Oryzias latipes: one gene and its partner. The protein of the gene in region 2 purifies or fractionates together with the protein of the main gene of each other region. This does not show direct contact. Links are inferred from orthologs where the notes say so. Each region holds a gene or a part of one and is shown on either strand. Other genes may lie near its edges.

Region 1 (3,817 bases), on a different chromosome or scaffold from region 2:
TTTACAGCGCAGGAGTTTGGGACAACAGTCCCGTTCTAAAGCGCAGGAGTCTGGGACAACAGTCCCGTTTTACAGCGCAGGAGTTTGGGACAACAGTCCCGTTCTAAAGCGCAGGAGTCTGGGACAACAGTCCCGTTTTACAGCGCAGGAGTCTGGGACAACAGTCCCGTTTTACAGCGCAGGAGTTTGGGACAACAGTCCCGTTCTACAGCGCAGGAGTTTGGGCAAACAGTCCCGTTCTAAAGCGCAGGAGTCTGGGACAACAGTCCCGTTCTAAAGCGCAGGAGTCTGGGACAACAGTCCCGTTTTACAGCGCAGGAGTTTGGGACAACAGTCCCGTTCTAAAGCGCAGGAGTCTGGGACAACAGTCCCGTTCTACAGCGCATGAGTTTGGGACAACAGTCCCGTTCTACAGCGCAGGAGTCTGGGACAACAGTCCCGTTCTAAAGCGCAGGAGTTTGGGAAAGTACAGCACAGAGTGGTTTGATGCTCCACACCAGCAGAGATTTCACACAGAAGAGAGGAAAGCAGGTTTCTGCTGCTCGGACTCAGGGAAGGAGAAGAAATCAGCACATATCAGCCCCTGGCTGATGAAGACTTTAGCGGGGGTTTGATCTTTGACACTCTTGAGTTGCGTAACGGGACAGATTATCAAAATGGGAAGAGAGGGGATGAAGAGGGAAAAGACAGATGGCAAAAAGGAAGCAGCCTTTGAACTGAGAGTAAATCTACGGTTACAGCACCAGATGATTATCAGGCGCCGTGCGTCTTTCTGAGCGCTGACATGTGGCCCAGCTGTGGCGGAGCGGCCAAAGTTCATGTTACAACCAGGCCCTAATTCGTTTTTATATGCAGAGCATGGGAGGGAGAGGACGGATGTCTGTAGGGATTATTGTACCTCCAGAAGGCCAACGGCAACAGAGAGGGCGACACCGGTGGAGCGGAGCGGCCGTTTGCCCTGGGGGACGGGCCAGGGGTCTCTCTGCAACTCCCCCAGCAGGTCTGTCAGATTCATATCCACTCTGTGGATGGGCTGCAGAAACCTGGACAAGAACCCGCAGGAGTCTTAACAACGGCTCAACATAAACAGACTGGGATGTCTTGTCTTGTCTAGATCTTGTCCCTCCTACCTGCACGATGCAGCGGCATCCTGGGGAGCCACGGGACGACCTTGAGGTCCGGTGGCTGCAGGCTTCATCAAACCGAGCATCTCCTGAAAGCAGACGTGCAGATGGAGAAACGTTTCAAACCTTCATCGGGCTTCATCCTACGTTTTTATCCATCATCAACCTAATTTTCCTGATTCTCTCCAGAACCAACCTGGATCTGTTTTGAGGTGAGGTCCTTGGTGCCCCTGAACACGTAGCTCTTGGCGATGCCTTCACAGCTGAGCTCGTGAACTTGGACCATCCGCCCAAAGGTGATGAGACCCACCAGGGCGTTGGGGGGCAGCAGGCTCAGGGACATCTGAAGAGAACCCTTCAGAGCCTGGAGGTCCTCTTCCTCCAAACATGTGTCAACGACGTACAGAAAGATCAGGGGGGTTTGAGGGCCTCTCTGTGAAGAGGACAGAAAGATGATTTCATTTTCCCCATCTATAATAACAAATAAATGTTTGTTTTTTTAAAAAGGGGAGTCATCCCCCTACTCTGAAGACATGGGTGTCAAAGTGTTTACCTGAACAATGTACTCGATGGTGGAAAACTGCGGCATCAGCTCAGCTGGTTGGTTCACTTCTGATATTCCGGCATAAGAAGGAGGAAACTGCACAAACACAAAGACAGATTCTAACAACCCACTCAAAAAGAATGCCAGCGGGTCGTGTTCAGCCGCGGGGGCAGATGTCAAATACTTCAGCACTCACCGGATTCCTCTGGAAGCAGAAGTTGCATGCCCACACTTTGGCCCTGAAGTCAACCTGGCTGTAAGAAGAGGATTCAAACAAAAAGCTGCTTCTTAAACTGTCAGCGGCACTGGAATATGTCAGATCATTTGGAAACAATGAGCTAAAACACAGAGCCTCATCAAAAGAATAGAGTTTTAAACGTTCATGAAATCTTCAAACAGACACTTTAAAACATGGAAGAATCAGAAGAAAGCAATATTTTGGAGGAAAACTTACCACAGAGGGTTGAGCACAGCCTTGCAGTTGGCCCGGCTGCACAGAACCGGCTCATACTGAACCGGGGGGAGGTCGGGTCTCTCCTTCAGAGGTGTGAAGAGGCAGGAGACGGGGACCACCAGCCTGGTGGCTTCCAGCCGGCTGGAGGGCCAGAGGTTCCAGCTGAACCTCACCCCATCTCTGTCCTCGTTCTGCTGGATGAACTCCTGGTAGGTGGTCATCGTTGAGCTGGGGCACAGAAAGAACCCGATTCAGGTCAGTGAGGTGCCTCCTTCAGACTGAAAACCGTGTTGCCCGGACGCGCTCCTGTCAGTTCTGCTGCCGTCTCTAACCAGAGTCACCTCTTTAAAGACTTAAACCTGCCTCTTTGGTGCTAAAATAAGAGGCCTGACGCACAACCGCGTCACCAGAAAACCAGACCGGCTGGTTTAATGACGATGGGAACGGCGCTGAAATACCAACATGAATGGGAAGGTGCGTCCAAATATTAGACAGGTACTATTTTTGCAGGGACGACTTAGATCGGTGTGTCAATAAGGCATTTGTGACGCCCTTTGCAAAGATTCTCCAGGAGCTTGTTGTAGCAACTCCCCTGTGGGACTGTCACACCAAACCGACGACTTCTTCAAGAATTTGAAATCTGCACAGTCTGCTGGCCCAAAAAAAAACAAGAGAAGGAATCCTTGATTTTCAACAACACTTTTCCTTCCAAACAGTCAGAGTTTTCTGGTTAAGTCAGAGAACAAAAGCCCTCCAGGCTTGAGGGAAGGTTTGACTCTGCTTCTGTTTCTGATGTTGACTTTACACTAGGGCTGCACGATATGAGGAAAAGTTGCGTATTTCGATAATAATAATTAGCATTGCCATGACGATATAACTGGCAGTACATGAACAAGCAACTAAAAACATTTCCATTTCACTGGAACAGTTTAATTTAAATAAGAGTCGACATAACTTATATTATACCCCAAATGACCCTCGTCTACATGGGAGGCAAGCATCCAACATAAAACGCTCCGATTGGTCAAATCCATAAAAGGATTTATTTGACTCGTGAAATTCTTCAAGCTGCCATAACATCGTTCTAGCACATTTCAGGTAACCATTTATTGTAATTTTCGCCGTCTTTTGCGATATGCGTATTCCACAGCTTGATATAGCGATAACAGTAAATTTGCGATTTATTGTGCAGGCCAACTTTCAAACCAAAGTCTTCAGGATACTTAAAAAAAAAAAAAACGTATGTAGTTCTAAAATAAAGGATCAGTCTTCTGTACAGTATTGAAGTACATTACAGAGTCGGAAATGTGGATTGGAATATTTCCTTGTTGACGTATAATCTTTACGATCGGATTCTGTTTAAGAACAATTTTATTCTTATTAGGAGTCAAACTGTTTTCTGCTGCCGTCTGAATAGAACGATAAAAAAAATAGTAATTGATGTTGAGGAGGACTCTGTGTGCGGTTAACAAAACAAAAAAAAAGATGCATTGTTTTCAGGACAAGAACATTAGAACAATGTTCTATTTTCTAGTTTTAATAACTGCTGTTCAGAGGGAACATACACAAACAAATATGAGCGAGTGAAGGCGCACACACCTGTCACACCCCTAATGTGTTCAATTACATCGACAATTACACCTGCCCTGGATTAGGGCAGGGACAAATGCCCAGGTATGCAGCCATCGACTGAAA
Region 2 (3,817 bases):
CAACACCATGGCCAAGTGAGGACGCCAGTCGCCCCATTTCTCCTCTCCACAGCACTACAGAAAAATTTGAAATACAGCTCAGCTAAAGCAGCAACAAAGACACGGAACTCAATATGCTTTAAACGTGGCCAGTGAAAGAGGATGGCTGCAAAAGAAAGATCAGAAATGAAGGACAGAAGGAAAACTCACGGTGGCTGATGCAGGCATTCTTCCTGACATCAACTGGTAAATCGTCTGAAGAGGATCATTCATTGGTAAACTATTTGCAAACCTAATAAACCAAAACAAAAAGTTATTAAAATATAGGGATAAATTGAAGAAAAACCTTTGAGAGGAACAAATTTGTACTTTGTCATGACACGTGCATGAGTTCGGCTATCCATCTTACTGGCCAGCAGTAACGCGTGACCCCAGAGACCAGCTTTCATGGCAGCTTCCAGAGCCTCCTACTCCCCAGAAAAAAATAAACGTTCAGCTCTCAAAGCTTAGAAACTCTTTGAATAAAGTGCAAAGAGGTCTTTGTTACTTTTTTGCGGCCAAACAGGAGCAATTCTCGGAAGCGCTCCGTTTCCTTGCCAACATTCTCTGGGACAGTCATAAAGGTGTCGGACAGAAGAGACAGCGGTCCAGTTCCTTGATCCTCCTCAGCGTGTGCCAGGGGTTCGTTATTAAAATCGATCAAATTTGCCTCATTGGGACTTTTGCCGGGCAGCCAGACAGAGCGATGCTCCTTCAACAATAGATCAGCGATGTCGGTACCGACGACGGTCTGAAGAAACAAAAGAAAACAGTGATATTTCGGCAAAATCTTTTTTTTAATATACTCTGCATCTTAGTTATTTGAGGCTACATCTGCATAGTCTCACTCCATTCTGTCTGCAAAGAAGCACAATAAAGTCCCAAAGCAGGCGAGCAGAATCCCTGTCCAGGAGGTTGTTGTCACGGGAACACTCCAGTCCTTTGCTTTGGGAGAATTTGATCACGTCCACTTTATGGGTCTCCCCTCTAATGACACACAGCAAGAGGTTGAAGATAACGGACACATTAGATCCTTTTTAAAAATATCACACTACACTTTAAGATCAAACAGATTAGATTAACTGTTTAAATTAAGTTGCTACTGTAAGGAAACTCCAGCGCCTGCTAATATTTGCCAATTTTTAAAATTCAGTGAACACCTGCAAGTTAAACAAAGTACCCAAAGAGTTTACATTCAAAAAATCATAGCAAAAACCAGAAATGAAAGCACTTTTTTTAAAGGGTTTGTGACAAATAGCAGAAATTTCTGCATCAAGCTTTGAGTTTACAAGCTTTTAAAAACAATTATGGAAGCCTCATCAAAACAGCAGTTTATAAAATAATGCCTTATTAAATTATAAAGATCAGCTTAACTGTTTCTCTAAATCTTTTGTGTATGCTAACCGTATGATTCTGCAGTAAAAAAAAGGCCAAAATGAAATATTACATTAAACATTTTTTAAAGAGCTGTAAGTATTGGTGATTGTTAAAGTCAATTGTCAAAGTTTTGATGCAAAGACCAAAACACAAACAAGGAGCGCGTTTATTTTAGTTTCTTTTTCTGCAGTTTTTTGAACCAGTATCTTTGCCTTACAGAGAACATTAAAACATATTTAATTTTTGCTAATTAATTTGGATTTGTAGTTTTATGTAAGATCTAGAGATGAAAAAAACGATATTTTTAAATAACAGTTGAATAGCTCACTTAATGAGAGGACCAGGGAATGCCCGTAGCTCTGCCTGATCAGGAGTGTCCTGCAACATGGTCTGGAAAAAATTAATTTGAACAAGAGGGTGAACACACTGCAAGTTCTTAGCCTTTATTTTCACAATAAGAGTCTAAGAAGCATTATCCTAAAAAGGGAAACCAGCAATGCAAATAATCTTAATGAGGTAAAGAAAGGAAACTCCTGTATGTGTAATGTATTAAACTAACAATCCTGTTAAAATGTTGTCATTACATATGAGCAAATGTGTCTGAGTTACTAATGTGTCCCTATGAGGACAGACAAACACAATCTGTTCAGATGTACCTCCAGGTTGTAGATATCAACCAGAGCTGGCTGTCCAGCTGAGGGAAGATTGGGTAAGACCTGAACCAAATGACCACCGGGTCCGAAGCGGGCACAGCGGTGAGGCATGGTGAACTTTTCTGGCGTTGCAGGACGAGGGGGAGCTACAAGAGAAATGAGAGTCAGACCGAAAGTACTTCACCAAACCTTTGTTTGGATTTTAACATTTAAAAGATGTGTTTAAACCGAGGGTTTTGCTTCCCAATCCTGATGTTTAAGTACCTCTGCCTTGCAAGTTTCACTTTTTTTCTCATGTCAAAAACTTCAATCTCAGTGGTGGGAAACACAGTTCAGTCTGTTCCAGAGAAACTTCTGAACTTCCATGCTTCCTGTGCTTCTAATGATCAATTTATTTAGAACTTGACTCTGTTGGTTTAAGTCAACTAATGCTCAACAGCAGCATAACTCTCGGAGTCGCATTTCATAAATCCCTCACTCTAGAAGCATCCAACATTTTCATCTCTCCCTGGTGGATCCCAAACAGGATTTATCTTATCATATACTTACGTTGTTTAGGGGCAATCCAGGAGCCGTCTGTGGTGTAATCTGAGGAGTAGAGGTATTTCTGGGTGGCATCAGTCTGATCGGGGTACTGCGCGTATGAGTAGTTCACAGCCATAGAAGTGTTGTCACAAACATCGACTGTCAAGTCAGGCTGACTCCTGTAAATCTGGCTCTTTAGTGGGGAGAAAATGGAAGAAAAATAAAAAGGCTCCTTTCAGTGTCAGAATAATCATTATAAACAACAGAGAAAAACTTTTTTCCCCAAACACAAGTTCTGACAAAAGAGGCTGACTTTTTCACAAACCTTTCACTGGTCTACTTGACCACTTTAAGCAGTTTTACACTCAAAATTGCAATTTTGTTAAAACATGTGTAGCATTATTTGAAAGGAGTAAGTGTTCCACCAGTCTGACTGCACAGTCATGTTAAAAAAGCAAATAAGTTTTGCAGAGGATGGAAAAACATTTAGTAAATTGAAATTATTTGACTTTTGTTGTTAAAACTTATGAACCAAGAAAAGACAACAAAAATCCAGTGTGCAGTCCAAATACCTGTTGTGAGCGGGAGCTAAAGCTGCTCTGCCTGCTGTGGTGGCTGTGCGAGCTGTGGACGCTGTGTGCCGACTGCTCGCTGTGGATGCTGCGCCGATCAAAGTCTTCCCCATACATCTCGCCGCCACAACGGTTGTCATCATCAAAGCTGGGGTCATAACCAGGATAGTACTTCCACTGGTCTTCATACCCCTCTTTCCTGCGCAAAAAGGAATGTATATTTAGAAAAAACACAACATACAACCTCAGTTTTACTCCCCAGGATTTAAAATGCATACCTCTGAGGATACACAGGCTGATTATAGTAATTGTTTCTGTATGTGTCATCATAGTAAGACCAGTATGACTGATCATAGTATCCTCTGTATCGTGGGTCCAATTGTCCATAATATCCTTTGCAAAAGAGAAAATGTTCAATCATGACAAAGAATTGACAAAAACTGATTTTACGCAAACATTATAAAAAAAAGTTCAGATCGGTTGAATATTTTCAATTTCTGTTTCTGTAGTAGCTCATACCTCCATATTCATAGTGCTTGGAATAGTCTGCATAATAGTCGCTGTAGGCACTTCGGTTTGCTCTGCTCTCATCAGGGTAGCCTTGCCTTTTGGAAAAAGCAGACAGACACTATTATATGAAAAAGTCATTAAGGGTTAAGACATGCTGCTTTC

What was found.
Region 1: the proteins of sec16a (region 2) and protein transport protein Sec23A purify together in Homo sapiens (affinity purification with mass spectrometry; 3 studies listed by BioGRID and IntAct, with this or other methods). This does not show direct contact. The link is inferred for Oryzias latipes from reciprocal best matches to the Homo sapiens genes SEC16A and SEC23B.

What each region holds. Positions count from the first base shown.
Region 1 is NC_019859.2:30,187,069-30,190,885, reverse strand, and holds part of protein transport protein Sec23A, read right to left. Parts: intron 2,351-3,817; 5' UTR 2,344-2,350; coding exon 2,123-2,343; intron 1,923-2,122; coding exon 1,865-1,922; intron 1,765-1,864; coding exon 1,678-1,764; intron 1,558-1,677; coding exon 1,321-1,557; intron 1,214-1,320; coding exon 1,131-1,213; intron 1,044-1,130; coding exon 899-1,043; intron 1-898. UniProt on the Homo sapiens protein: Component of the coat protein complex II (COPII) which promotes the formation of transport vesicles from the endoplasmic reticulum (ER).
Region 2 is NC_019870.2:8,815,753-8,819,569, forward strand, and holds part of sec16a (protein transport protein Sec16A), read right to left. Parts: intron 3,751-3,817; coding exon 3,665-3,750; intron 3,539-3,664; coding exon 3,424-3,538; intron 3,345-3,423; coding exon 3,146-3,344; intron 2,767-3,145; coding exon 2,598-2,766; intron 2,195-2,597; coding exon 2,052-2,194; intron 1,786-2,051; coding exon 1,724-1,785; intron 1,006-1,723; coding exon 867-1,005; intron 770-866; coding exon 527-769; intron 447-526; coding exon 349-446; intron 272-348; coding exon 190-271; intron 55-189; coding exon 1-54. UniProt on the Homo sapiens protein: Acts as a molecular scaffold that plays a key role in the organization of the endoplasmic reticulum exit sites (ERES), also known as transitional endoplasmic reticulum (tER).